Diceros bicornis minor: one gene and its partners. The protein of the gene in region 4 purifies or fractionates together with the protein of the main gene of each other region. This does not show direct contact. Links are inferred from orthologs where the notes say so. Each region holds a gene or a part of one and is shown on either strand. Other genes may lie near its edges.

Region 1 (7,973 bases), on a different chromosome or scaffold from region 4:
TAATTTTACATTTGTTTGTTTCATTGTTTGAGGCATGCCTCCCTCCCCGACTCCAATGTGAGCTCCAGGACAGAAGGAACCATGTCTGTCTCACTCACGACAACATCTCCATACTTAGAACAGGGCCTGGCATTCAGTAGGTACTCAATAAATGTTTGCTGACTAAATGAATAACAAGCTGCTGAAAGCTTCTGTCCTTCAAAGACATTGATTGCAGCTCTCAATATCCTCTCCGACTCACATCCATGTGACCTGGCTTCCCGGGGGTGATAATGGCGTCCACAGTGGGCTATAGGGACAGATTAGTATCCCAGCTTATTCCAAGCCGAGAGCTCGGCGTGTCCCTACTCCACTCCTTCAGCCCCAACAGACTTACTGTTGCCAGTGTGTGTAGATGTCCAGAAGGGTTACAGGCTGAGTCAGGAAACTTTTCTGCAAACAAGGAAAGAGAAAACAGCAATTAACGCTCCAGCACAGTAAGGGTCCTCCTTGGGCCCAACTCTCCACGACCTCCTTACCTGCACAGACAAGCGGTTGAGAAAGGGGTCTTTTTGCTTTGGGAAACATGTCTGCTTGGCCCTGCCTGTACCACTCAAACCTTCCAGAGACAAGCGGGACAAGTATTTCCAGCTAAAACCTTTTAAGACAACATGTTGGTGAGAGGTACCTTTGACCGACTAGAGCTGGAATCTTCCAGGCTAGCATTTTTCCAGCCCCCAGCCTCCCTGCCACTCTCTATGCTTAGAGGCCACGAGACAGGGCTTTTTCTACCTCTGACCTTTCAAAAGGCTTTTAAAGGCCAGGCTGGTCAATCTCCCCAGGGCAGTACAAACCACAGCCCAGACACCAGAGGCATCCGGGTGGCATGACTGCAGTCCACTCATCCACTGGGAAAAGACTGGAACCAAATGATGCCAGTCCCTTGGTAGAAGCAGAGGGAACCAGCTGGAATCTAGGCCTTTGGAGCCGATGCCAGAGGGCCCACTCTCGGTGCAAATGTCAAGAACCTGGGTGTTAAGTGCCCCAAGGAGGCTGAGTGAACAATGTGGGGCAAGGGCAGTGTCAGGGGGTACAGAGTGGCCAGGAGGGTGCACCTGGTGTCAGGCAGAGCTCCTCTGTTAACTGGCTGGACTAATCTCTTCACCTCTTCAAACTTCAGGTTCCTTCTTTATAACATGGGGACAACGGCAGTACCCACCTAGCAGGTTGCTATCAGGCCTGAATGAGACAACCTGGTCAGCGCCCCCAGCACATGAGCCAATAACACAGAGACTGCGAGCGTCAGTTTCACTCTACTGCGACCCAGGCCCACTGGCCTCCTCACTGTCCCTCAAACGTCTCAGGCCACCCGGCCCCCATCAGGGCTTGCTATTCTTTCTGTCTGGAATGTTCTCTCCTGCTAACTACACAGCTCACTCCCTCCGTTCCTTCAGGTCTCTGCCCAAATGCCACCTTCTTGGTGGGGCTTCCTGACCATCCTATTTATAACTGAACCCTAATATTCCTTATCCCCCTTGCCTGCCTTATTTTTATAGCTAACACCCACCATCACCCGACACACTATATCATTCGCTTCTTTTTCCTATTTGTCATCTGTCTGCGCCTGCTAGAATGTATGCTCCATAAGGGCAGGCTACTTTTGCCTAGGCAAATGTTCCAACGAATGGGCGCTGTCTCCTGCCCCTCTTAGCTGTTAAGGGATATAACTGGAGTAAGAAGGGCAACTGAGGTCCAGAGAGGGCTGGGAAAAGCATAGATAACGTCTTAGGGCTCATCACCCTTTAGTCTCCCTGGGAGGTCCTGAGAGCAAGCATCAGGACCAGAGCCTACACCATATTGACTAATCAGGCCAGTGTCCACCATACCAGCTTAAAACCTTTCAGTGGCTTACCACTGCTCTTTAGATGAAGCCCAAATTGCCTACAGTAAGGCTCCAGCCAGCTCCCCCACTATCTTCCCAGGGACCTCTATCACCCTTGTACCTCACACTTAAGCCACAACAAGCTCTACTGAGGCCAGTACCTACACAAGTTTTCTCCCACCGCAGGGCATTTGCACCTCTGCCTGGAATACCTACCTCCCCTCTCTAAGATCTCAAATCAACATCCACTCCCTCAGGAAAGCAGCCCTGGCTATCGCTGACAAGGGCAATCTGCCACCTCTGTCTTAGCACCCTATGCCTCTCTTTCTTGGCACTTAATGTAGTGTTAAGTGTACAGTTATTTTGGGGATTCTTTGATTTATGTCTATCTCCTTTACTAGACTTAGATTTTGTTAGTTCTAGGAGGGCTGGGGGACCGTGTGCTCTGAGCACCAGGTGAACAGTTGCTGTAAGAATCAATGGAGTAAGAAATGACTGCACCACGAGTTCGAATCCCAATGCTGTCCGACTCAACACCGAAGGACTGCTAAGGGCCTGAGCTCCAGCTCAACTGAGGGGACACAGGCCCCTTCTCCCGGCGCTCTCCTTCGCCCCCAGGGGCTGGTCGCTATCCATCCCTCAGACTCGCAGCAACCTTCTCGCCCGAGGGGGTCACGCGGAGCCACGTGGCCCGAGATTTAGGAAACTTTAAACTGCCGCCACCAGGAAAGGGGTGGAGGTACGGGGCGCGGGAATTACAAAACCCTGCGCATCCGATCACAGGTCCCGGCCCGCCCACTGCACAGATGGGAAACTGAGGCCCAGAGGGACTGGGAGCCGCAGGAGGGAGCAGAAGCTGCGGCTCCTTCGGCACCCCTGGCCGCGTCCCCGAGCACCGCGGGATCCAGTTCCGGGGGCCCGCCAGGCAGCCAGGACAGGGGGTGCGGGCCGCCGCTCTCCAGACCCTGCACGCGGCCCTCGCACACGGCGCGCGCCGCTTACCTGGCCGCTCTGCTCCTTCACTTCCCGCGCCGCGCGCACGTAGCCCGCCTGCAGCAGATGCTGGTAGATCAGGGGAAGCAGCTCCCGCCGCTTCCTGGCCTCGGCCATGCCAGCGACCCCAGGCCAGTCGTCTCACCTGCACGCCCCCCTCAATCCCCGCCCGCCACTTCCCGCGTGCCCTTAGACCTCGCGCGCCCCACTTCCGGCTCCTCGTTCGCCGGAGCCGCGCGGCACGCCGGGAAATGTAGTCTCCTGTAGCGTGATCGGCCCCTCCCCGGCGGGTGAAAGGGGCGGAGACTCGGAGGGCAATGAGATTTCCCATTGGCGGGGAGAGGGCGTGGTTAGACCTGGACCCACCCCTGGGCCGGCCGTGATTTGGGTAACTCCCTCTGAAATCCTTCAGACTTGTTCCTTGAAGAGGTTAGTCTTGCTTGTTAGCTCTCTGATGGCTGCGATCGGGTTTTACTCATGTCTGAACATCCTCATCTGCATCTCTCTCCAGACCCAAACTTCCAATTACCCACTCATTTATTCATTTCACACTTTTTTCAGGCACTATTTGTCATCATTCATTCATTCACTGAACAAATCATTATTGAGCACCGTACCTTGGGCTAGCGCTCAGTTAGGATAGGGGGATAAAAAGATGAATAAGCCATGGCGGCTGCCCTCAAAGCTCACGGGGACAACAGAGATAGTCGGTGCTTTCTGTGCTTTCTCGGGGATAGGCACAGCCTATGTGAGCAGGGAGGAGGGGCACCTAACCCCCAAGAGACGTTTCAGTGGAGGCTTAAAGATGGAATAGGAATTTCTAGGTGCAGAGAAGAGGACTGGCACCCCAGGCAGAGGGCACCTCCTGAGGGTAGACAGGAGAAGCCACGGGGCATAGGCCAGAAACCCAAACATAGAACCCAGTCTGTGCTGCTGGGCTATAGAGTTGGGGGGAAGAGGGAACCAGTGAGGACACAGGAGGATGGAGAAGTAGACAGGGCCTACAGCATCCCCTCCCCCAGCAGAGTTTTTGCACTTTTGCTCCAAGGGCAATAGATAGTCTCTGACTGGTTTAATGCAGGAGGGTGACCTGGGTTTATGTTTTTAAAAGATTACTATGACCAAAGCATGGAGGATGGATTTGTGGAGAACAATACTAGCTGTGAGGCTATCGTAGTTGTTGAGGCGAGGTTGGCAGGGAGAGGATGAGAGAGGCTGGAGAATATTTGAATCAGCTGTTCTTTTTTTTTTTTTATAATTTTATTTATTTATTTTTCCCCCAAAGCCCCAGTAGATAGTTGTATGTCATAGTTGCACATCCTTCTAGTTGCTGTATGTGGGACGCGGCCTCAGCATGGCTGGAGAAGCGGTGCGTCGGTGTGGGATCCGAACCCGGGCCACCAGCAGCAGAGTGAGTGCACTTAACCACTAAGCCACGGGGCCGGCCCTGAATCAGCTCTTCTTAACTTCATGGCCCTGTTGAGAATCTGAAGACAGCATGAACCACCTAGCCTTTACTGTAGAAAATTTTGAATGTGTATGGATACATAACATTTTCCATCCAATTTCAGGACAGAGATAAGCACGTACCTGAACCTCCTAGGGTTAGGAACTGCAGCTCCAGGAAGAAACAGGACAGGATGAGGTGACTGATTGAATGCAGTGAGTAAGAAAGAGGGAGAAGACTAATCTACATTCAGCCATTTAGCAAATATTTATTGAGGGCCTACTATTGGGGATGAAACAGTCTCTACCCCAATAAGAGCTTACAGTCTAATGGGGGAGAAACGTGCTAAACGAATAGTCATACCAATACATTGTTACAAACAGTGAGCAAGTGCAGAAGGAAAAGGATAGTGTTTTCTTATGGAACAGTAGAGTGTTTAAAAGCTCTGCTGAAGTCACACTGCCTGGGTTCAAATTCTGGCTTTGCCTCTTATTAACTAGGTGACCTTGAGTAAGTTACATAACTTCTCTGTGCCTCAGTTTCTTCATCTGTAAAATAGAGATAATTATAATTTCTACCTCATAGAGTTGTCATGAGGAGTAAATGAGTTCTAAGGAGAAATGCGCAGGTGAATTCCCAACAACAGTGCTGTGCTTGTATGTGTGTGAGCCATTATTGGGAAAGCATTAACAGGAAGGAGGGAGCTATCTTTTCTTGGGGGTTAGGGAAGGGTTCCCTGAGGAAGTGATATTTGTGAGGAAATCTGAACTATGTGTAGGGGAGGATGGTGGTGGGGAGAATCCTGGGCAGAGGAAAGAACCTGTGCAAAGGGCCTGAGGCAGAAGGTATAGCTGAGAGAAGAGGTGAGAAAAGGCCCTTGTAGCAGGGCCTAGAGTGAAAGCAGGGGGACTGGGGAGTGTAGAAGGTGGGCAGAGCCAGATTCCACATTAAGGATCTTTCTCTTCATCCTAAAAGTGAAGGAAGCCACTGACAGTGTGGGCCCAAGAGGAAGAGAATGATATTTGAATTTTAATGTGACCTGTGTGAATGCCCAGTGGAGAGTGGAATACTAGTGTATGAGTAGATGCAGGAAGACAGGGTTAGGAGTGCAGGCAGGCATCCAGGGAGAATAGAATGGGGGTGGCACTGGTGGCAGTGGAGCTGAGAACTGTGAAAGGTTTCAAAGTTATCAGGAAGTCAAATTGTCATAGAGATGTGCTGGAATGGAGGGTAAGGAGGGAGTGTTAGGATGGACTCTGAGCTGTCTGTGCAAACAGGCAGGCAGTGACTTTCACTGAGATGGGGAAAACAGGAGAGGACTGGGATGGGGGCTGAGCAACAAGGGGAGGGTGTGGAGGGGACATGAAAAGTGCAAGTTCCACTTTAGACACGCTGAGCTTGAAATGTCTTTGAGACACCGAGTGCAGATGCTGAGTAGGCACTTGGAAGCCTGGGTTTGGACTCACATGAAAATGGGAAGTTGTCAGTAGAGAGATGATAAGTGAGGAGAAGAACATGGAGAGAAGAGAAAGTGGCCCAGGCTGGAGCTCTGAGGCACACCCACAGGTTAGGGCTGCAGAAAGGAGGATGTGCCTGCACAGGCTGAGAAGGAATGGACAAGAGAGGTAGGAGAAAACCCAGGGAGTGGGCGGAGGGCAGGAAGCCAAGGGATGAGTTTTGGGAAAGTGGGAAGTGTCCATGCAGACTGCTCTGAGAGTCGGATGGGATGAGGATAGAACCATGGGCCTTGGTTTACTGACAGGCATGGGGATTGTCAGTGGCTGTAGGGAATGCTACTTCTGTGGAGTGACGGAGAAGGTCAGATGGCAGTGGTCTGATGAGAGAAGGAAGGATGAGGGAGGCAGTGGATCTTTTGAGAAGTTTTTGTGTGAAGGGGAGGAGCGAGATGCCGTGACAGGGTCTAAGTGTGTGTTGGGGGGAAGTGTGCTATAAGGTGGAGAGACCTGAGTTTGTTTACAGGCTGATGGCAGATCAAGCCTGAAGGGGAGAGAGATTAATTAAGGGTTTAGGAAATAGGGGAGATAATCATCAAGTGATGTGCACGAGCATGTGCAAGGGGATGGGATCAGGCGTGTAGGTGGAGGGGCTGGTCTTGGAGAGGAGGAGGGATGACTTCTCTAGAACCAAAAGTAGGAACAAAGAGAGGATGGGTGCAGATGTAGATGTAGGTTTGTAGTGGGATGTTAAGGGAGATTTCATCTTGAGCTTCTATTTTTTCTGCAAAGTGGGAGGCAAGGTCTTCTGCTGAGAGCGAGGAAGAGGTGGTGAGGAGTTTGAAGGAAGGAGGAGAATGAGCATTCGGAGAGTGGAGGAGCAAACTGGCCCACAAACTCCCCGATTGCCTGATAGTGTTGACAACCCAGTTGAGGTTGGTGACCATTAATTTATGTGTCCTGTCCTGCCAGCTGTGTGATTTCCCCCTTCACAGCTCACCTCCTCAGGTGCAGGCAGGGGGAAAGTACTTAGAGGGTTTACCCAGACCTAGGGCTTTGCCAGATGGGTGGAAAAAAAAGGAACAGTGTCTGAACTGTTGGCAAAAATGGTGCCTAATCTCTGGACCCTCGGATCTAGGCTGGGTAGGTGGGGAATGAAGACAGATGGCGTCAATTTTCAGGGAGAGAGTGGAAGCCTTTGCGTACTGGGCCGCCACGAGGCTGCCATGAGCTCCCAGGTTGCTGATTGGGTGGCTGGATGGGCCACTCACTGAGAAAGCGAACAGGGTGACGAGCATACAAATCATTGTAAGATGGTCAATTTTTTTTCACCCCTCCGAGAACCAATTTTTACCCTCCGTGGGGGCGTTATTGCCCCGGTTGAGAATGCGTTCCTTATAATGTAAACTCCCTGAAGGCAGACTCCTGGTTGTCTTGTTGGCTGCGTTATCCCCAACTGCAGTCAATAAACGTTGGCAAGTGCAAGGGTGGTTATAGCCTGCTTCCTGAAGAAGAGAGGAGGGCAGGGCAGGCAGGGCGCACACCGTGAGTATAGGGTTGGAAGCAGAAATGAGGAAGGCTTCTAGAAGGCAATGGAGAAGGAACCGTGTTGTGAGTCCTTTGCTGACCTTGGAAGAAATGGAGAACTGGTATTAAATTAAAAAACAAAACCAGGATGGTCTGATATCTTCTGTCTGGCAACACGTTGTTTATTTTTGTTTTGTTCCTAATAAAATTCATTTTAGGCACTTATGCTTTGTCCTCGGCTCCTGGGAGGCTGCCTCTTCTGTGGACAATTTCTTTATATCCTTGCTTTTCCAAATCATACCCTTCACTGAATTGCCTCGGGGCCCAAGCACAAAATTAAAACATTAAACCGATAAAATATAACATGGCAACAATTAAGACAGCAGCAAACAAAACAGCGCATTAAAAAAAATTAGCCTCAGAGCGTTTTTCTACCAGTTAAAAAAAGATGCATTTGTTAGTGGTAGAAATCAGAAGCTTCCAGACCACTCAACCTCTGAGCCCCTCTCGGGTAAGCAGCATGCCTTAGTCATCTGGAATTCTCAAGCAGGGCACAATGAGGGCATTCGGGAAATGAGTGAAGGAAGGCCCGTCATCAGAAGAGAAGGAAGCTAAGCAGGTGGGGTGCTAAAACCTTCTTTTCCCAGCAGAAGTGGCTCCTGCACAGAGGTGGGAGGTAGCATGACACAGG
Region 2 (7,959 bases), on a different chromosome or scaffold from region 4:
GTCATGCATTTTTGTTATTGTTGAAAGTGGTGCGAAATTGCACTGCATGAGCTAAAGTCCTTGGTGGTCCTCCAAGGATTCCAGCTAAAAAGGCACTTCCTTTGTTCCTCAGGAGAATGCAGTCCAGTAGGTCATTCAAAAGGGGAAATAAAAGCAGCAGCCCTGGGAGGGAGATGAAGGACAAGACAAAAAGAATAAAATGTTTTGGGTGTGAGCACATTAGCTTCCATTTCCTGCTGCTGGTCACTAATAACTCTCCTATCTTTGGGGGGGAAATGTCCAGATAGACATTTATGCAAAAATATTCCTCAGGTGTTTTCTGGGAACCATGGCAATCCAAGGGAACACCTAGCACAGTCCTTGAGCACTCTTCAAACTTCCTTTCTCCTGAGATGCTGGCTGGGGAAGATGTCCCGCCATTGTGAGCCTGGCCACAGTAAAGTTGGAGAAAGTGGGGAGGGCAATTTCACAACCTACTCCCTGAATGCCTCTAGTTCATCTCAAAGGCACATATTGTTTGCATGAGCAGAAGATGAAAACTTGTCACATCCCCATTAAGGGCATCGCTGCAGCTATCCCTTCAAAATGTGGGAATGACAACTGTAACCTTCACGCCAATCATCTCCCCTGGGCCCAGGCCCAAACCGTGCAGGGCACAAAGACCGCAGGTCTGACCCGCGGAGCCCCCAAGCTTCAGTGGTTGCTGGTTCACTTCACTTCTTCTGGCGGGGCAGGAGGGAGAGGGAAAGAAAGAGGGCTTTTCAGGGCTCTACAACCAATAAAATCGTACTGCTGTGAGGACATACTTGAGCTCCCAAAAAGACAGGCAGCTCAAGGGCAAACAGTCTCTAATCAGTAGTGTGCGAGTTATTTGGTAACTGCCAAGGTGCAGTGGGCTGCTAGGCTGCTCCAACAATTTCTTCGGCTCTATTTCTAGACAGATGCCGGTTACAGTCAGAAAGTGCCCAGCAACTTCCCTCAATTTACTTTTGTAATTTACATGTAATGACTGCACTTAATCTCCAAGGTTATTAATAGCCCTTCCAAAAAATGACCCCCAAGTCTTCCTAAGCCTTTGGAAGCGCCTGGTTGAAATTACAGTATTTCCTTTGCTGGCTGCCGGCCCCCCGCCCGCCCCACCCGTGTGACCAACACCGCGAGGCAAAGGCGCGCTCCGCTCACTTCCATGAAAGGTTCGGAATGGAGGCTTGGCCCCCGGGGCTCGAATCGCTCACTTCACTGTTAGGTTTTGCTGGCCACCAGCCAGCTCCATCCGTGGTTCTTTTTGAACCCTCGGGGCGAACGGGCTACCTGCGCTGCCGCTGGCCCCAGCACGGCCCGCGGGGCTGCGCGCAACAGTTGGCCTCTGCGAACGGGAGAGTGCGACCTGGAGGGGACCGGCCCGGCCACCGCCGCCGGCCTCGAGGGGAGGAGCGAAGAGCGCCTGCCGGAAAGCTGCCTCCCCAACGATGCAATAAGGGCTCTCACAAATACCCCACGCACCCGCCAGCACCAAAATCCGGTGAACTCTTTCACAGGTTAAGCCGTCTGCATTTGCATAACCATCTCCAAACCGAGATTCAGGTTTCCTGTAATCAGTCCTTTCAAAGGTTTGTAATTGAACGTGCAATTAACCCTTAAAATGAGGTGAGAAAAAAGGGGGGAAAAAATACCCTTCTCATCCAACACCTTCCGGAAAGCAGGAGAGTTCCCAAAAGTCAGGGTTTGGAGGAGTGGAGAGTCGTTTTGCTTTTTAAAGGCGACTTCTAAAGCCGCTGTAGCTACTAAAATTCCTAATCCGTGTCAGCGGTTGGAAGAGAGGCAGAGAGAGGGTTTTTAAAGAACATCAATGAAACATCAATTCATGTTCCACGTTTTGCGTCCCCCGGAATCTGGCAAGCTCTAGAAGGTTCCCCCACCCCACTGGCAACCCCCCACCCCCACCCGGCCTCTCGTCACCCACGCAACAAAGCGGGGAGCCCAGTAAGGAGTTCAACCCGGAAAAGGCGAGGGAGCCAGTGACACGCACTTTGCGGGCCAGAGTCCTCTGGGGCTTCCTGGGACCGGGCAGACCGCGGGGGGGAAGGGGGGCGGTGGTAGCAGAGCGCGGGAGTGGCACCGGGCAACTCGCAGCGCGCCAGGGGCCGCCGCGTCCGCGGGGAACGTTCTGCGCGGGGGCTCACTCTCGCGCTCCCTGTCTCGCTCGCCTGCCCATTTCTCTCTTGGGTACCTGCGTGCGGCGCGGGGGGCGGCGGGGCGAGAGGGGTTCCGCGGCCCCTTCTCCGGGGTGCCAGTCTCTGCGCTCGCCTCCCGGGGGCTCCCACCTACCGTTGATCTCGTGCGTAGGGGCATCGTTCTTGTCGAAACCTTTGGACACGTAGAGACGTCGCACTTCCGAACAACTTTTCGACTTGAGCTCGGCAGCCAGCAGCGCGGCGCTGAGCGCGGCCAGGGTGCAGAGAAGCGCGGGCAAGCCGAACCGTGCCATGGTGCGGGCCGGGGCGGACGCGCTCCCACCTTTGCGACGGACGGAAAGTTGCGGGCGTGGGCCGAGGGGCGCGGAGTCGAGGGCTCGAGAGTGGAGCGAGAGGGCGAGGGAGCTGGAGTTGGAGGAGGAGAGCAGCAGGATGAGACGCGGGGCGAAAAGTGGAGCTGGGCCTCGAGCGTCAGCCAACGGTCCCCGGTGCCAGGCGCCCGGCCGGGAGAGGACGAGGAGGAGGGCGTGGAGGCGGTGCGCGGCCCCAGGGAGCGGAGGCCGGGCCGGTGACCTCGGGGCTCCACGGGGGCAGCGAACGAGGCAAGCTGGCCGGCCGGCGGGACAGGGGCGCGAGGAAGGAGGGGAAGGTGGCAGGCGCCGCGGGGGCCGCGGAGGGTGTGGGCGGCGGCGGGCGCTCGCTGCGCGCTGCTGGGGCTGCCCGGCGCTGCTCCGCTCCCCCGGCTCGACTAGACTCCGCTCACTCTGCCCTCGGCCGCGCGGCTGTACCCTCCTCAGCTCTGCGGCTGATTGACTGGCCGGCGTGCGCGGCGACGCTCGACAAACTTGGCCCAGCGGGCGGCACTCAGGGGGAGGCGGCGGGGGGGCAGGAGACAGGCGGGAGCACGCAGAGCCGGGACGGGAGAAAACCTGGAAGCGGGGTTGGATCCGGAGCGGCCAAATCCACTTCCTAGGGGGCCGCACCGGGCGCGCGGGCGCTCCCTCGCGCGACACGCCCCGCTGGGCTCCTCCCTTCTCCCCTCCTCCGGGGAGGCGGGGAGCCTGCCCGCCGCCCCCCATCGGGGGAGGAAAGGCTAACTTCTCTGGGGCGAAGGGCCCAAGTCTTGGGGGACCGAGCGCCTTGGAACTTGTCCTGAAGCCCACGTCCGAGTTATAGGCCTTCTGCGCGCGGCCACCTGACCCGCTGCCCGCCGGCCTAAGCCGGGCAGAGCCCTCCCGCCTCAGTACCTGCTCCCCCACTGCCGTCCCGCAGCCCGGAGGACGCTCCTAACCGCCAGCTCCTGGGCTCGGAGGGGAAGGCGCTGGCATTACTCGCATTGTTTCGCTGCAGGCACCATGGGGACTTGGGATTCCCAGCTGGCCCTCTAGGGCCTCACCTGGCCTCCTCAGACCTGCTTCCCAGCAAACGGTGCTCATGGAGCGCCGACTTATTCGGATCCCTAGCAGGCTTTCTCCTCCCCCGCTTTCCCCCTCCAACACCCCCTCCCCCGCCTGGTTCAGCTTCCATTCTAACCAAACCCTGAAGCAGGAGAAACCCCTCAACCACGAGGCGATGGGACCAAGTCAGGGTTGCCCTTGGAGACCTTCTGGCCCAAACCCTCCTGCATGTAGGGAAACTGAGGCCCAGAGAAGGGAAGTGACTTGCTAATAGCACGCAGCTAGGGGGGGTCGGTCCAGAACCCGGAACTTTACTCCCCCATCACATGGAATAATGGTAGCCCAGGACCCTCAATTCCCCTCCACCCTCAAGCCTCTTGAGAGAGACACCTCCCTGGGACCCAGACTCTACTTAGCCACCAGAAAACTGGAAATGGGCGAGTCTTCCCACCTTCCAAGCTTTGTCAGATTCCATTAATGAGTGTTTTTGAAGCTCCCCGGGCTCCTTTAATGAAGGGAACTGTGCAGATTGGAAACTTGTCATTACCGTTGTTATTGTTACAATCTGCTTTAAGAGGTTAGGGTGAGAAGTGCCTCAGACACCTCGGGAGTGTGCTGGGAACTGGGCAGATAAAAGGGGCTGGAACTTATTATTTGGCAAGACTCTCAATTCCCATAAAATTACATAGGGTGAAGATATGAACCATCACTACAATTATCGCCCTCATAGGGTTTGTTGAGACGTCCTTTACTGAGGAGCCATAGAAACTAGCGTAGCTGTTGTTTTGAATGCCCACTGCAGACTCTTCTACATTTTATTAACTCTTGGAGATCATCAGGATAAACAGACAAATTGCGACCCATCTATAAGTGGGACGTGGAACTTCTGTGGGTTGGCAGAACATTTAACTCTAACTAGGAGAGGAGTTTTTCTAAATATGCAAATTCAACAACAAATGAATTTTCTGCCATTTTTGAGGGACTTTTAAATAGTCCAGGTATTCTCGAAACTGATAATCATCATGTCCTCAAAGCATTGCTAGGGCTTAGTCCAGCACCTTTAACTTTCATTGATTGATGCATTTACTTAAAGATGTTCTTTACCAAAGAGAATATGATCTGAGATGCAACCAGCATTAATAATAAAATGAAATCCAGTGACCATAGCAAGAAAAAGATACTCCCAAAACGTGAGGCCCAAATCAGAAAGCTTCTTTTCACACCACGTCCGGGGGGAAACTCATTCCTTGCCCCCCAATTTACTCCGGCTCTTCCTGTTCATGTATTATTAACCAAAACTTGAGGCTTTTCCACAAGAAACAGTAACCTCTGGCTAGAAACGGATCTGGACAAGTCTGAACTTTACCACACCAGGCAGGCACCCCAAGCCCTGCTCAGAGGCGGCTCCCACTTCAAAGCCTCCTTTCATTTAAATACAAACAGGGTGAACAACTGGCAATCTACGAAACAAATACCATCCAGCTTCCCTTTTCAGATGGCCTGCAGCTCCTCCTTCCCACCTCCCAACCCTACTCCAGCTCTTCTCTTCCAAAGAGGCTCCTTAGTGGAGATGCACCTATTCTGTAAATTATCTGAACGCCAAAAAGTGGATCGGGGGCTGCACATAGAATGCAAGAATCGACAACTCCTCACGATGATCAACTCGCATATAGCACTTTATTTTTGGCTTTTTTTTATTGTGGTAAAATACACAAACATAAAATTTACCATTTTAAAGTGTACAATTCTCTGGCATTAAGTACATTCACAATGGTGTACAACCATCACCACTATCTAGTTTCAGAATATTTTCATCATCCCAAAAGGAAACCCCATACCCATTAAGCAATCAAAGTCCATTCCCTTCTCTCCTCTGCCTCTGGAAACCACTAATCTGCTTTCCGTCTCTATAGATTTGCCTGTTCTGGACATTTCATATAAATGGAATCATTCCATGTATGGCCTTTTCTGTCCGGCTTCTTTCACTTAGCATCATGCTTTTAAGATCTGTCCATGTGGTAGCATGTATCAGTACTTCCTTTCTATGGCTGAATAGTATTCCATTGTATGGATATACAACTTTTGGTCATTGAGTACTTTACAGTTTGCAAAGTGCTTCCAGGTACTCTCTCATACTCCTAGAAAATTTTAGTGTTTTTTAAAAATACATAAGCAAACTGAGTCTCAGTGAAGTTATGTGGCTTGTCCACAGACACAGAGCTCTTGAGTGGCTGAACCAAGATTGATAAATTTAAGACCTCTGACTAAATCTCATGTAATTTTTTGTTAGAAAACACAATATTCTGGGTCTCACTTGGGGTCAGCAGTGAATGTGCAACTGCCCAGATCTTGTAGAAGTGTCCCTGCTTCAGATTAATAAATGTTCATTGAGCACTTACTATGTGTCGGATGCTGCTCAGCCCTAGAGGGAAGGACGATGCACAAGCCAAAAGGAGTTTACAGTTTAAGGTAGTGGGTAAGACCTGTATGCAAAGGCTTGCTTGGATAGAATGCATTTGCGGTATACTTGGTTTTCCCAGGTGAGGCCTTTCTCCTGATGCAGCACTGGGGTACATTCGCTGGTGGGCAGAGGGAACAAAGTATGCACTCACTGCTGCTGTCCTCCAAGCCAAGACCTAGTTAAATCAGGTGCACTCTCTCAGCTTTAGAGGCACTACTCTTGGCCTGCTGGGGAACTACTTTGGTTGCCAAATATGGCGATGAGGAGTAGAACGTGACTTCCTCCCTTAGGAGAGGTGGTTGGCCTGCAGCCCTCTTGTCTCTCCCTACACCCAATCCATGCCTCCCATAAGCCACCAGAGTGAGCCTTTGACATCACCTGAACAATGTCCCTCCCCTGTTTAACCCTGCCTCCCTCTCCCGTGGCACCCCATTGCTTTCCAGATCAGTTCCCGACTCGTTCAACAGATCTGGATCTTTGCTATCAGGATATAGTCTACATTACCAGCTTTCTTACAGGCCTTTCCCAACCATGTATCTTCTGTCTGGCCCCATAAGAACACGTCATCATTCTCCATCATGCCATGGACTTCCTTGCACCCTTACCCTGCCCCTGCTAGGAATACCTTTTCATTCCCCTCCATTCCTTGGACAACTTCATACTCATCCTTCAAGACTCAGCTGAGATATCACCTCTTCTGGGAAACCTTCCTGGATTCCACCAAGCAAAGCTAATGGCTCCTGCTTCTAGGTCTCCAAAGCAGTGTCTGCACAAAATGGCTACCACACTTGCCCCACAGCAGAGGTCATGCTTACTCTGAGGATTCCTGCACCCTAGCCCCCAAGAGCTCTTTTAGCCTTATTTTTATTTGCATACCTAGTGCCAGCAAGAGTACACGTTCACTCAATGGGCAGTTTCCCAGGGGAATAAAAGACCTAGATTAGTATCTGAAATTTCCTGATTTTTAAATATTAGTGACTACTTCAGCATTCTTAAAAGTTTACTGAACAAACTCAGCTTGTCTTCAGCCTAGATTTCACCCAGTAACTTTCCTCTCTCACCCCATGCCTCTCCTTTATAAGCAACCAAGCAAGCAGTGTCTTCTAACCACTTGCTGTGTACAAAGTTTGGTTCTGTGAAGGCCCTAGAAACTTGAATGACCAGAGCCCTTTGAGGATCTGACAACCTGCTTGGGGAGGTAGGATCCATATGGACGTGGAGAAAGATACTGGCAAAGATAACACAAGGCAATGCGTGTCCCCCAGGACAGTCATTCCAGTTTGCTCTTTGTTTCATAGTTGCCAGTCTTCTCTTTGTCCTTCTGGAAATTGTTACAGAAGTACCAGTAATTGAAGGATTAGCCACTTCGAAGGAGTTGATGTGGGTAGTCTGTTCCTGTCTCCTAATTCCATAGTATTCTTTCTCTAATGCCTTAAGTTTGCCTTATCTTTCCTTTTCCTTCAGAGAGCTCGTGTGTGTCCACAGCTTTAACCACCAGCTCCAGGCACCAGCCACCATACTTCCTTTTTGTGCCATTGTTGTCCACTGTTCTCCCAGGGCCATAGCTGCCATACTCCCTCTCTCTTCATTAATCACCTGGACAGATTGAGTCCTCCTTTCCACTCTGTGACCATCAGTCCTTGTCTAGGTTGCATTACCTCTTGTCTGGACTGTAGAGCCAACCTCCTAACAGGTCTTCTGGCCTCCAACTTCTCTCTCCATCCATTCATGCAGGGACTGTCACAAAATCAATCTTCCTATAGCATCATTTGCAAGTGTCACACTCCTTGGTTAAAAAATCTTCCATGGGAAGACAATCTCACAGTAATAACTGATATTTGTTTAGTACCGCAGAGTTTAGGAATTGCTTCCACATGTATTATCTGTGAAGTATGTGTTATTTTCC
Region 3 (6,899 bases), on a different chromosome or scaffold from region 4:
AAGCAATATACTCCACACCTAGGAATATATTTCTGGCCCATATACCAGGTGACATAAAAAGCTGCCAGCTTTGCCACCTGGCACAACAAAGGGCTCTGCAGCAGGTCTGAGTGTGGCGCAAGCAGCCTTGCTTGACACTTGGGCTAATGGATCCAGCAGATCCTATGGTGTTAGAGGTGTCAGTTTTGGAAGAAGATGCAGTATGGAGTTTATAGAAGTCTTAGAAGGAGAATTACAGCTCAGGCTCCTGGGGTGCTGGATCAAGGTTGCACAACTTTTGAAAAACAGCTCTTGGCATCCTCCTGGTAAGGAGAGAATGCTTGACCATGGGGACACTAAGTGATACAAAATGAAATGTGTCTCGTTGAATCTACCATGTCATAACTTCGGAGGGGGCCCAGTCACAATTCATCATAAAATGAAAATATTAGATTTGGGATGAAGCACAAAGAAGACCAGAGGGTACAAATAATCTACATGAGCAGATAGTGCAGACCTTGATGTCACCCATCACAGTTTCATCAATACCCCTCTCTCAGCTCACACTGATGGCCATAGTAAGGGGTGGGGTCTCAAACAACAAGCTGAAGGAAGAAAAAACGGCCAAGCTTAGTTTACAGATGGGTTGGCTAAGAACGTGGATGAAAGCTGAAACTGGACAGCAGCTACGTCAAAGCCTCACTCAGGAACAGCCATGAAGACAGAGGAGAGGGACAAGCTTTCTAATGGGCAGAGTTTTGGGCGGTGCCCAAAACTGTGGTCATCCACTTTGTGTGGAAGGAAAAGTGGCCTAACTTTAGAATATAAACCAGCTAACAGGCAATGGCAATAGCCTGGCTGGCTAGTCAGGTGTCTGAAAAGAAAGAGATTGCAGACAAGGAGGTCTTAGAGGGTTAGAGGAATGCAGATGCACATATCAGTGTGGGCAAAAAGTGTGAAGATCTTTTTATCACACATCAGTGTCCACCAGAAAGTATACATTATGAAAGAAGCACTAAACAACTACGTAGACCAAATTACTCAGCTAGGTGACGTTAGCCTGTCTTTGTTAGTGGCCACCCCAGTGCTGGCACAATGGACAAATGAAAAAAGCAGCCATGCTAACAAAAATGGAGTCTGTGCATGGGTCCATCAGCATGGAGCCCACTTACCACAGCTGGCCTACCTACTGCCTCATCTGAAAATTCAACCTGACAGCAAGAGAGACCAATGTTGAGCTCCCAATATGTCATCATTCCTTTAGGAGATCAAGTTGCTATTTGGTGGCAAGTTGACTACATTGGGACCTTTCTACCCTGGAAGGGGCAACAGTTCCATCAATGGGAATAGATTACTTATTTTGGGTATGTATTTGCATTTTATACCCACCAGTCTCCATCCAGCACCACTATCTGGGGACTTACACAATGCCTGATCCACAGGCACGGAATACAACACGGTATAACATCCAATCAGGGAAATCACTTCACAGCAAAGGTGGTGCAGGAGGGCGCCCATGACCATGAGTTCCACTGGTTGCACCACATGCTGCATGTCCCAGAGGCCGGTGGCCTAAGAGAGCACTGGAATGGCCTGCTGAGGGTGAAGTTCAAGCACTTGCTATGACACAATACTCCGCTAGGATGAGGTGCTGTTCCCCAGGATGCAGTAGACCTTGATACAGCTCAGGGTCCCCAATAGGAACAACACATGGGTCCGGGAAAAAATGGGGTAAAACAGGAATAGCATCATTTACCATCATTCCCAATAACCTATTGGGGCACATAGCATTTCCCATTCCTGCAACTCTGAGCTTTGTGGAATTAGAGAGCCTAGTCTCCTGAAATGGTATATTCTTGCTAGGGGACACAGCAAGGGTCCTACTGAGCTAACTTTATCTGCTGCCTGGGCATTCAGGACTTCTTGAGTTCAGGGACGAGCAGACAAGAAGAGGAGTCAACATCTTGGCAGGATAAGCTAACTCTAATCATCAGAAGGTAGGCTTGATGTTACAAAATGATAGCAAATAAGAATATATGTGGTACTTGAATGATCCACTTGGGCACCTCTCCCTTACTCAACAGTGACTGTAAACGGACAAGTGCAGCAACACCTGCCTGAAAAGGAGATTATTACTAGGGGCTCAAATTTCTCAGGAATTAAGGTTTTCACACCACCAGTTTAATTATGAAGACCAGCAGAGGTGGTAGCTGAGAGTGAGGGGAATTCAGAATGAATAGTAGAGACAGGCAATGAATGCAGTTGTGGTTCAGGACCAACTGCAAAGATGGGGACTGTAGTTTGTCCCACTAACTTCTCTCTTCTAAGTTTCTCTTCAAGAAGAGAGGCCACCGGAACCCTGAATGAGTACAGACAGTGGATCTACATGGTACAAGGGGTCCACTGTGACAAACACACAGATGTGCTGCTCAGATACCTCTTCATCAACAGGCTGTTTGCCCAGCTGTGAGGAGTGTGGTTAGGTGACAACCTTCAACTGTTAACACCTTCAAGTCCACTTCAGCTTTTGAGTCAAGGCCACACTCTTATTGGGAAGGTTCTAGCTAATGACTGAGCAAGGCCATGTTACAAGGGCCTAGCTATTTTATCTCAGTATGAGACTCTTCATCTTTGCTCTAGAGCTACTCCTAGCCCATCCAGTTTCCTCCCTTTTCCTTTCACCTTTTTACTGTCTTAGCTCTAGCTCACTGTTTGCTTTCTGGAGGTCCCAAATGGCAAACCTCATCTTTTCCAGCAACATCCAGCTCCTCTAGGTCCTCTAACTTAATTTTATTTCTATTGATAATTGTAGAGGTGGTATTGTGCATTTTTCAGATATGGATACAAATGTTTACCAGATTCACCTCCTGTGCCCTGTATTGGTACAACCGAAATCTATGCAGTGTCTATTCCTATAGAACAGATCAAGAAATGAGCACACAGTGTGAAGTAACCTGCCAGAGGTCAATCGTCCATGAGTACGTCATAGATTCCCAAGTTAAAAAGTAGTCCAGCTCCAGTGTCTTTATCTGTAATCATTACACTCTTCTGTCACTAGGAAAAGGTTGGTAGCACCAGCACCCTAAAATTGTAATAGAGAAGTGTTTGGAGAAACCAGGCCTGGTGTATACAAGGTTGGGGAACATAAAGATACAGTTGTTTTAGGAGAAAATAGTTCCCAAAACAGTAACAAGTAGTATAAATTTTAGGTTTTGTTACTATTGAAAACTAAAGCTTAAGAAAACACTTTCATTGATTAACTCTGATCTCAGTACAGACTGCTATTTCCAAGCCAGTCAGGCAATCTCGTTATCCTCATGATGTCTCGCCAGCTGGATCTTAACCTAAAACAGGCATCATCTTCTCTACAGAATTAGCGTCTCGTCATTACTTCACTCCAATATTCTCCCATTCATGCACTTGTGCTTGAAATCTCCGAAATTAGTAGGCACTTCACCTTCGGTAACATTTTTGCTTATATAGATTCTTGGTCTAACTATTGTAAAATGTCCGAAAAAGGTGTCTGTTCTTCCTAAAATTTTCAAGGAAAAGTGACTACTAAGGTCTACTTTCTTGCAAACTATAGAGAAGTAGTTTTAGATAAAGTAAATTGCGCTAAACGCTAATCACTACCAGGTTTCCGGCGAGCCGCCTGGATACACGCTCCGCCGCTTGTCCAGAAGAACTACAATTCCCGAGGTACATTGCGGCGTTCTCAGCCTACAACTACAACTGCTTACGTCTTCTCCGTCCTCACAGTCGGTGCATGCTGGACTTTGTAGTTCGTATCGACTTATCTTTCGTCGCCGTCTTGGAAAGGAGAAAGTGTGGATGGATCGACTGCTATGAATCTGGTATTACGATATGGTATTTAAAAATAAATTAATAAGATAACGTATCAAAGCCAATTTAGCGTCAGGTTTTTATGTATTTCACGTTCCGCCTTCCTCCTACTGCCGGGCCCGGAAAGGGGAAGTGACGTGCTTCCGGTGTAATGGCGGTGCGGCGGCCCTCCAGGTAATTACCGAACTCCGTAGACTCGCGGCAGGCAGCGAACCAGAGTGGGGGTGGCGGGTTGCCGGGCCGGGTGGGAAGTGAAAGGGGCCAAGGAGTGGGTACGGGCTCGCTGATATGGCCCTGGGCGGCGCCGCGGTGCGCGGGGCTCTCGTGCCGCCGCGCGCCGGCCCGCGGGGTTGGAGTGAGAGCCGGTCGGGCGGAGGAGTCCGAGCGGTGGGGAGGCGACGCTGAACTCTCTTCCCGCCTGCGCGGACAGATAGCTTCCTAGTGAGGGTCCTGGGGCTGTTTCGACACAGTGTCGTTGTTGCTTGAATCCAGCACCGGTTCTTTCTGCGTTCGTGTGCGGTGTGTTTCGGGCGCGGATCGCTTAGAGCCTCCACTTGGGCTTCTTAAGGCCCCTTTCTTAGTGCCCGGCCCCAGGTCATGGGAATGGGATTAATGAACTGTAGTTGATTAAAAAATAGTGCAAGTTCCGCTCTTGCGCCTCTTTCCGACATAATATCCTTGTGACTGCTTCTTTAAAATTTCATTAGTCTTTTCTTTTTCATTCATTTGTCCTGTAAATAATGATGCTTCCTAGTGGTTAGTCCTGAGGACTCTTCGTTCCGCATTATGTGTGCTCTTCCTCTGTCATCCTTTGTCCTTCCGTAAATTGATCTGCCTCCAATACGATGGTAACTTACAAACTTGGGTCTTCAGTCTCCACCGCTCTATTGAGCTCCGGATCCTACAGTACACTTGCATATAACGGTAATATAATAGTTAATTTCACTGGGTCTAACTGCGAAAACTGCTTTACCAATTTTCACTTAATTCTCACAACAAATCTTTGAGGTAAATAGAGAAGGAAAAAATTGCAGAAAAGCTGTTCCAGAAGCCGGAATTAGGTGATTGAAAGTGCGATAAGAGTTCCCTTTGCCTTTTTCGGTGTCTACAGGCTAGAAATAGATAAACAAGAAGACTTGGGCTTCAGAAGGGAAGTTAATCTGCCTTTCCCTTTTCTATATTTAAATTTGTTTTGTTTTAGGATTGCCTGTGAACTCGGGAGTAAACCCCAATTGTCATCCTACCATGGAAAAGCGAATTTATAATTGGCATTAAAAGTGTGGTTTTGATCGCAAGAACGTTGCTCAAGGCAGCATCTGTGGGAGAAGGAGACCTGCTTTTGTTGGTGCTGAGTGATGGACCACTAAGGCGAAGATGCCAGTCTTGGTTCAGCACTAAATAAGTCTGTCATTTGGGGCAGGTTACCTAACATCCGTAGTCTCAGCTTCCTCATCTGAAAAATGTGGATAATAGTAATACTTACGTACCTACCTGGGTTGTTTTGAGGATGAAGAAAAATACATATGAGGCACTGTGCACGGTGCCTGGCATACAGCGTTAGCTATTATATTATTGTTACTACTGCGAAAGAGTTGATGAATTCTCTCTGAGTCTCAGTTCTTGTTCTTTGGTTCTGAATGTTGCCCTTCCACTTTTAAGTGCCCATGCCGCCTTCATGGAGCCTTTCCCACCTCAGTTGGCTGGGGCCCTGAGACTTCAGAGGCTGAGAACGTTGATCCGATACCCTGGTCCAGTGGTTCTGCAAATCTAGTCTCCTGAATCAGCAGCACCAATGTCTCCATGGAACTTGTTAGCAATGTAAATTATTGGGCTCCACCCCAGGCTTGTTGAATCAGAAACTGGGGAATGGGGTGCCTATGAGTTTCTTTTTTACCAAACCATCCACGTGATTCTCATGCCAGTTAGTTTGAGAGCCACTGTTCTAGCCCATCCCCTTCTGATCTACTGTGGTTCACTCCCACCCCCAGGATCAGGTTTGCTGTTTTCCTTGCTCCACAATGTTTGATCTTTGGCCAGCCAGTATTTCCTTGTTACTATGCCACCACATCCTTCCCTGCTTTGGATAGTTTACCTCCAATCACTTCTGGAATTCTGACATTTCCTAAACTACTTAACTGTGTTTCCTAAACCAGCCTTTTTAGCTCGATCAGTTTTCCCAGCTGCTGAATTGTTAGAGGTTAACTCTCCTCCCTGATGATTGTACGTTGCCAAGTGATCTGCAGTGGCTGGTTGTACCTGAGACCACCTACGAGAGTACACAGTGATAACATTGGGTATTTGTAATGCCCATGCCTTAACTTGAACATTTTCTGTTTATTGCCCACTTGTATTTAGACTAAATTTTGTAGTACCTGGTGTATTCCTTAACTTGGTATAAGTCATCGCTGGCCTAGAGCTAGTTTAAGAATGAAGTGGTTTTTGGTAATATAGCTGATCCTACTGATGACTTGCAGGGCTTCTTTGTTGCATTTCTCTACTTTTCTGTTTAAGTGTGAGACTCCTAGCATGGGAGGGCGGTGGAACAAAGCATATTAGTTTCTCTGGAGTGTTAGTTTCAGCATACTTCCAGACTTGCTAAACCTGTAGCCTAAATATCTTATCTCAGTATATACATTTCCCAAGTGGACATTGGAAGAGACATTTCAATGCCTACAACAAAGTGCACACTTTCAAAGCATTTTTTTAAAAAATAGTGTATCAGGAGAGGAAGCAATAGATTAAAGCAGGCCTTTGCTATTATAGTCAAGGTAATAAATCTTTCCCAGTGAACACATACCAACAAGGTGGTATGGGCTGCCTTGGCCTGGGGACATAAGGGTTCCTGTGATTATAGAATAGGTTAGCTAGTGGGAGGGAGAGACCCAGTGGAGATTCATTTTTAACTTGACTTTAAGCCTAATTCATAAATGGATCAGGCTAGACAGAGTTCAGCACTTCCACATGAAAAGTTATCCTGTGAGTCCTTCCCTGATAGTTAAGGTCAGCTTTATTCTAGACCTGGTGACAGGAGCCTCTGTAGTGGAATGTAGTGCTGTGTGTCCAGGGGCTGCTTCATA
Region 4 (6,887 bases):
GGAGGTCACGAGGGGCCCAGGAGGCCTCCAGCTATCTCCCAACAACTGTGGGCAACACCTCCCGATTTAGTGGCAGCTATGAACACCAGGCTGCAGGCACCCCCTCCCCTTCCATCCTCTCTTCTCTCCGAGAATGGGGCTGGGTTTCCCACTGCAACAGACATACATAGGCCCAAGCCCTGCCTGGCCCATAGCTGAGGCCTCACCTACAGGACTGGGAGAAATAGAGACCTCACTCTCAGGGTCTAGTGTCAGGAAGCAGAACCAAGCTTCTAGCCCACCATCCAACTGCTTCAGGGAACTGGGCAGGGGGTTACCCTGGCTGGGCCTCAGGCTCTGGTTACATCACAGTCCATCGTTCCTGCTGCGGGGACTCTCTCCTATCTAATGAGGGAGCATGAAGAGGAGGGCCTCTCCAGTCTTGGGGGTGGGCACACAGTAGAGTGCTACCTCCAGCAAGTTCAGCATTCAGGCCTCAGCATTCAGGCAGAGCCAAGAGCCAACTGGCCACTTCCAGGCACCTGGGGTCCCAATCTTTGAACCCCTGAAGGAAAATCCACTGGGGGCCCTGATTCCCTGTGGGTGTAGGAGAGGAAATGCAGGGGAAGGCCCCAGAGTAAAGAGTTGCTATGGTGATGGAAGTTTTTAAAACGGCAGGGGGACGGGGCAGCGGGGGGGGGGGGGGGGGGGGGGGGCAGGCGGCAGGCATTGACCAAATCCCTTCTCCAAGAATTCCCTGAGACTTTGGCCCGGCTCCTTCCCCATGGGTTCTGTGACCCTGGTCCCCATCAAGAAAGGAGAGGTGGGGAAACCCAGAGATTTTAGAAAAGAGAGAGAGGGCCAGGGACACAGGAAGACAAAGGCAGAAGCTGCGATGAAAGAGGAGCAAAGAGGCAACAGAGTAAAAGGGACACAGGCATAAAGACACAGAAGGAGAAGGGCAGGGGGTTCTGAAGGGGCCTAAGGGTGTGCAGCAGAGCCCTAAGCTCTCCATGGCCATGTGTTCTGAACACCTGGGCCAGGAGCTGTCCCTGGTGCCTGGACCTCTGAGACTGAACCCTCCTGTATCCCCCAGACATGCACTGGACTTGGTGTGAGAGGCACAGCCGTAGCCTTGGGGAAGAGGCCGCTGTTGCAGTCCCCTCAGCCAGAACAGTTCCTCAGCCCCTCTCCCTGTCATCACGGCAGCTTAGGTAATGCAGGTCCAACATGTCGCAGGCATAAGCACGGGGCGGAGGGGGGGGTGCTGTGGAAATGAAGTTTGGAGACCTCGCTTCCCTTTACAGCCCCTCCTCTCAGCTGGCCCAGCCCTACCTAGACTCCCCAGGCACGTGCACACCCCCCACCCCCCCATCTGCTGTCCTCTCTAGGCCTTGGGTCCCCAGGGCCCTTCTTGCAGCTCAGCCTCATTCCCTGCCACTGCCATTCTCCTCCCCAACAATGGACCCTGTTAGGAGGACCAGAAACAGCACCCAAGCAACCCAGAAACAGGATAACAACTGCACAGCACCTGGCCCCCATGCCTCAGTTTCCCTGGACAGAGATCATGGACTCTGTAGCCTTCTCCCGGCCAGGGCAAGGACTGCTAGACAGTGGTGGCCAGGGCACAGGCTGGAGAGGAGGGCCAGCAGCAGATAGGGGAACGGCAGCCTATGGCACCTGGGGAGTCCACACCAAATGCTGTAAAAGAAAGGGTGAGAGACCTCTGCTCCACCCCAGGGCCCAGGCTGACACTGAGAGGAGTGGAGACACTCATTTCCCAGTTGAGAAAACTGGGGCCCAGCAAGTGGCTAAAGCTGACAGGAATCAACTGGGGGTGGGAGTGGGGGGCTCTCCACAGGTGGTCCTACGGAGCTCAAAGCCTAGGCTTTGGAGGAGGGTGCCAGGCGGGACTGCTGCAGACTGAGCTCTTGGTGAGGGACAGAGAGCCCTGCTCCCTAGGAGGGAATCTGGTGGAGTATGCTTTGCCTAAGGGGTGCAGACAAAAGCAGTTTGGCGGAGCTATGGGGGGCTCGGAGAACCCAGGGTCTCTGGTAGACACTGCAGGCTGGGGAGGGCAGAAACTCTGTTCATTGTCCACCACCCCCAGCCAAGGGCTTTGCTCCCCACCGTGGTGCCACCCTGACCCCCTTCTCCAGTGCTGCTGACTCGCCCCCGCTGGCACAGCAACACACATGCGGGAGGCACACGTGTGAGCACCAAGCCCCGCACCTCCCAGCAGAAACATGTGGGTCCCCCACCCACATCGCGCAGCGTTGGGTCGGTGCCCTGGACCCCCAGCTGGCCCCCACATTACGGCTTGGAAGCTGGATCTTGGCTAGGGGGCCGCTGGTCCCCAGGGGCTTGGAGCCTCCTCCCCCACCCCGCGGCAGCCCCGCCCAGCCCCCTTCAGGTTGTCGCCCATAAAGAACTCTCCGTTGTCATGGAAATTAGTGACTGCCAAGAGGGAGGGAGGGGGCCCGGGGGCAGTTGGGAGGGGCTGGAGGCGGCTCTGGGAGTCAGGAGGGACGGCTCAGCTCTCAGCCCCTACCCCCATGGGGTACCACGAATGTTCGAGGGTTAATATTTTCACAATTAGGAGCCCAGCGAGAAAGCGAGGGGGGGGGGCGGGCAGGGAGGGGAGATTCGCCTGGACTTGAGTCTCAGAGGCTTTCTCTGGGACCACCGAGTGGTCCGGGGTGACGAGGAACTTTAGCCCAACCCCGCCCGCCGACCCCCGGATCTACATAGCACGCGTGCTCGGCCCCCGCCGAGACCCCGAGCCCTCGCGGCACTCGGCGACCCGAACCTTGAGCCAGAGACCCAATCCCCCCAAGACCCCCAAAACGTGCCTTCAAGGGGCACCCGCCCCCGGCCCGGCCCGCCCCGCACCTGCAGCGCCGGTCGGTAACAGGGAGGAAGCGATCGATCGCGGGTTCAGTGGGGCGCCGAGGGCTCCGGGGGCGGCGGGCAGAATCCACTCCGGGCACGCGGGGCAGACGCGGCGCCAGCTGCAGCCGCTTCGGCTCGCGAACCTCCAGCATCTCCCGCCGCTCATCGGCACCGGATTCGCACCCCGGGCCGGGGGCGGGCTGGGGGCGGGGCCTCCCTCAGCCGGCCCCGCCCCGCCCCTGGTGGAGCCTGGGGCTGGAATCCCGCTCGAAGGTGGGCGGAGGAGAGGTGGAAGGTGTGTCGGTGAGCACTGGCCTGATCGGCCCGGCCAGGCACTCAAAGGCTCCCTTACGCCCTCAGACTGACCGGGCAACAGGGGCCGGAGGGGCCTTCCTATGGCCATTGTAGGGGGTGGGGAGTAGGAGGTGTGGGGAAAGCCTGAGTCCTGGAGCTAAAGAGCAGTCTCTTGGCAAGTAGTAGTCCCCGCGGGACCAGCTCTCTGCCCAGCTCCCAAAACCTGACCCAAAGGGCAGAAGCTACTTAAAAGAACCACGTGGGCAGTCACTAGGGCAAGCGGCACTAGACTGGCATCCCTTAGCTAGGAGTAAGTAAACACGTGGTTGTGTGTGTGCATGTGCAAGTGGTCAGTGAGGGCCCCAGACCATGGTGGCAGAGTCTTCAAAACCCACTCCACCCTCCACTCCTGCAGGCCAAAGCCTTTCCCATCCCTAGGTGCCAGCCAGGCAGCTAGCAGAGTCTACCTCCTCCTGTGTGGCACTGAATTTCCCAAACTGTAAAAGTCACCTATGACATGGTGTGGACTCTGCTTTCTTCCCGGTTTAATCACCTTCAAACACTTCAAGAGCAGCATCACCATCGGTGGCCTGGCCTGGGATATGGGGATACAGGAGAACTGCAGCACCAAGGTGGCCTACCAGACCTGGTCCCTCACTGGAGGGGGCTGAGAACTGCCAGGAAGAAGCTCTGAAGGAAGTCCTTGGCCATTGCTCTGTCCCCTGTCAGGGAGGCATATGGGCTCAATGCTTGCTCTGCCCTTGTCACAAGCCCTAAGGCCAGTATCTGAAGGCCAGACTTAAGCTTCTTGGTGCGAGGAGCTGGACTCCGCCCCACCAAACCCTCCCAGTGAGCCTTCTGACCCCATCCTGTGTAGAGTCATCTCCAAACCCTTGGCCACATTGAGTGAGTCTCCCCTGCGTGGCTCCCCATGGTTACTGACAGAACTGACTGCCCAAGTGAGGAAGTTGGCGCTGGGGCTGGAAGGCTATCCTGGGAAATGACTGCTCAAACAAGGCCCCTCAATATCTTCCTCCAGAGGGGGTGTCAAGGAGCCATTTACATCCTCCCCTGGCTTTGAATCACCTCTTCCAGTCCAGACTGGTGCCAACTCTAGGTTCCCTGGACTCTGGGTGGTCTCAGTCATGGCACCAACTCTACCACTGGGTAGGAATCTCCTGGTAAGCTGGGCATCTGCAGGGCAGAGCCTGTGTCTCATCTCAGTATGCTCAGTTCATGTCTGCAGAATGAATGAATGGTCTGGCACTCAGTCGTTTCTGCTGTCTGTCCACTGTCCTTGAAACAATGGTTCTCTGAGTTGTATGGTCCAGCTGAGCCATGGCTTGCTGACCCCACACATGTCACACACGTTTTCTGTCTTTCCTAAAGGTCATGGCTATCCAGGCGTGGAGCAGCTGGGCCAAGGAGAAGCTGAAATGGGGGATTTAGAGGCAAGGGAAGAGGCGGCTCACTAGAGCCCTGCCTGCTGCTGGCAATGCTCTACCTCTTCTTGGTCCTGTGCACACTCCGTGTGCCTGTGGGTGAGAGCACGTGGCAGAGTTGTGTGTTCACACGTGTGAATGTGTCTATGTGTGTGTGCGCTGTTATGCTGAAGGAGATGACAACAGCACAGTGTGTATTGTGGTGCCCAGGGGCATGTGTGTCTGCATTCTGTGTGTACCCAAGCATGCTCGCTCACACATGCGCATAGACACTGTAGCTAGTCCCTGGAGCCATTGGTCCCTGGAGCCACCGGTCTCCTTCTCGCCTGACACAGGCCTCAGGATTATGGAGGCTGAATTGCAGTGTGAGAGCAGGACATGGGAAGAGATTGAACCATGCCCAGGGCTGGAAAGGGGCTGTGATGACCCTACATCGTTGGCTGTTTTAGTCTGTCCACCTAGGGGAGCCCCTCACTTTCAGGCATGTGTGGGGGTGGGCAGGTCTTTGCCCTTTGTGGAGAGGGTAACCTAAAGACGAGGACCCAGGGTTGGGACGGGGTTATGGCTTGTCCTTCAGCCCCCAACCAGAGAGGCACAGGCAGGGTAGGGCTTTACTGTCTTGGCTTCAGTCTCCAGCTGCCCACTGGGCAGAAAGTAGCAACACCAGCTGAATGCCATCCTCTTAGCTCTTCCACACCATGGACTGGGCTGACACGGAGCTTAATTTCTACCCCCACTATTCAGAGCCAAACAAGGTCAGAGGCCATGGCTTCTAGCCACCTTCCTGGCCAGAGGGAGAGCAGGAGGCCCTTTAGCGCATGGAAGAGTTTGGAACAAGACAGGGGCAGTTGGCATTGACATTGCCTGGTAGCCTCCATGAGGATCTTCTGAGGAGGGCTGTACCCTGGCCACCCTGTGGGCAGGGGCTGCCTGACTTGAGAGGCTGAGGAAGAGAAGGGAGCCCAAAGTTGACAGTTCTGACTCTCTCCAGAACTAGACAGTCAGAGAGGCAGGATAAGTTGTGAGCTTCTGTATCCACAGAGCCTACAAAGCAGGCCAGGGCATCATCCCCCAGCTCAAGTTGTACCTCCCATCCAGGATCTAGGACTTATTTGCCCCCCTACCCCAACTTCCTGCCCCAGGGCACCAAAGGCCAGCACTCTCATACCTTCCTATTCTGACTGGCCAACGGAAGCCCCTGCCAACCCAGCAGAGAGCTCCAGCCAAAGTTGACTTTAGGAGGTACCTGCATTACTAGGCCAGCTCCCCCAAGAAGTCCAGACTGACAGGGACCCTCCTTTGGGGGCAACAAATGCTGCAGGCCCCCAGCCATCTTTGGAATTTTTTGGCTGTTGTCCATGTTGCTGGCCTTAGCCCCCTGTAGAGGGACCAAGATGGAGGAGGGCAAGCAATCTTCTCCTCTGGAGCTAGAGGAGGGGGCTGTTCCCCCTTCATGACTCACTCCAGGCTATGTGGGTTATTACATTATGTTTGAAATTGCCATGGCAACCAGCTGGCAATCAAGGGTAATTGCACTTGTCACCAGGGCAACGGGGCAAAACCCACAGCAGCCACTCTCTGTGTTCGCCCTTGAGTTGCAGTAAAGGTCAGGCTAGACCAGAGCCAATGCCAGCCAAGGGGCTTGGGGCTCTCTGGAAAGGATAGGATTGCCAGGGCCCATGGAGTTGTAGTGTGCAGAGGCAGGGTTTGCCTTGGGAGTGCCAAGGTCCCCATCCCTGACCCCATACCTGGACCTCTGCCCTTCCCCGCACTACCCTATGCCTAAAACATGCCACAGTGTTCAAAGTAAGCAGAACCAGAACTTTTATGTGTTCACAGATGGTATTTGTAGATGGCCCATGGGCCCTCCTCCTCGTACTCACGGCGGCTGAGCCACAGGCTCTGGAAGGAGTCCCGGGACGCCATGATGGAGCCTCCCAGCCAAGCGGCAACAGCACGGTGGGGAGAGCCCAGCACAGTGGCACAGGGGCCCAGCTCCTGTCTCAGGCGCTCAGGAAAGCCACTTACCAGGGTGCTGCCACCGTCCAGCACCACATTGGCCAGCAGCTGCTCCTGCTGCTTGGCCTCCAGCCGGCTGATGCTTTGGAGGGCTAGTTGTGGGAGGCCCTGCTGGTTGAGGCCTAGCAGATCCGGCTGGAAGAGGGCCTCAGGGCAGCAGAAGCGCTCAGAGCCCAGCGAGATGACCTGCTTGTCTGGAAGCACGAATTCCACCCGGGCCTGGGCCTGAGTGCGGGCCATCTCAGCTGTCATATCCATGGC

Evidence for each region.
Region 1: the proteins of CAMKV (region 4) and TCOF1 purify together in Homo sapiens (affinity purification with mass spectrometry; 3 studies listed by BioGRID and IntAct, counting the BioPlex papers as one, with this or other methods). This does not show direct contact. The link is inferred for Diceros bicornis minor from reciprocal best matches to the Homo sapiens genes CAMKV and TCOF1.
Region 2: the proteins of CAMKV (region 4) and GPC4 purify together in Homo sapiens (affinity purification with mass spectrometry; 3 studies listed by BioGRID and IntAct, counting the BioPlex papers as one, with this or other methods). This does not show direct contact. The link is inferred for Diceros bicornis minor from reciprocal best matches to the Homo sapiens genes CAMKV and GPC4.
Region 3: the proteins of CAMKV (region 4) and CWC22 purify together in Homo sapiens (affinity purification with mass spectrometry; 3 studies listed by BioGRID and IntAct, counting the BioPlex papers as one, with this or other methods). This does not show direct contact. The link is inferred for Diceros bicornis minor from reciprocal best matches to the Homo sapiens genes CAMKV and CWC22.

What each region holds. Positions count from the first base shown.
Region 1 is NC_080740.1:67,357,536-67,365,508, reverse strand, and holds the start of TCOF1 (treacle protein), read right to left. Parts: upstream 3,004-7,973; 5' UTR 2,972-3,003; coding exon 2,864-2,971; intron 433-2,863; coding exon 377-432; intron 1-376.
Region 2 is NC_080781.1:121,554,012-121,561,970, forward strand, and holds the start of GPC4 (glypican-4), read right to left. Parts: upstream 3,003-7,959; 5' UTR 2,489-3,002; coding exon 2,329-2,488; intron 1-2,328. UniProt on the Homo sapiens protein: Cell surface proteoglycan that bears heparan sulfate. May be involved in the development of kidney tubules and of the central nervous system.
Region 3 is NC_080749.1:60,247,433-60,254,331, reverse strand, and holds the start of CWC22 (pre-mRNA-splicing factor CWC22 homolog), read left to right. Parts: upstream 1-3,880; 5' UTR 3,881-3,996; intron 3,997-4,145; exon of another isoform or gene 4,146-4,746; intron 4,747-6,899. UniProt on the Homo sapiens protein: Required for pre-mRNA splicing as component of the spliceosome. As a component of the minor spliceosome, involved in the splicing of U12-type introns in pre-mRNAs. Promotes exon-junction complex (EJC) assembly.
Region 4 is NC_080741.1:50,982,787-50,989,673, forward strand, and holds the start of CAMKV (caM kinase-like vesicle-associated protein), read right to left. Parts: upstream 3,009-6,887; 5' UTR 2,872-3,008; intron 1-2,871. Other genes in the region: uncharacterized protein LOC131411027, read right to left, coding at 6,441-6,887. UniProt on the Homo sapiens protein: Does not appear to have detectable kinase activity.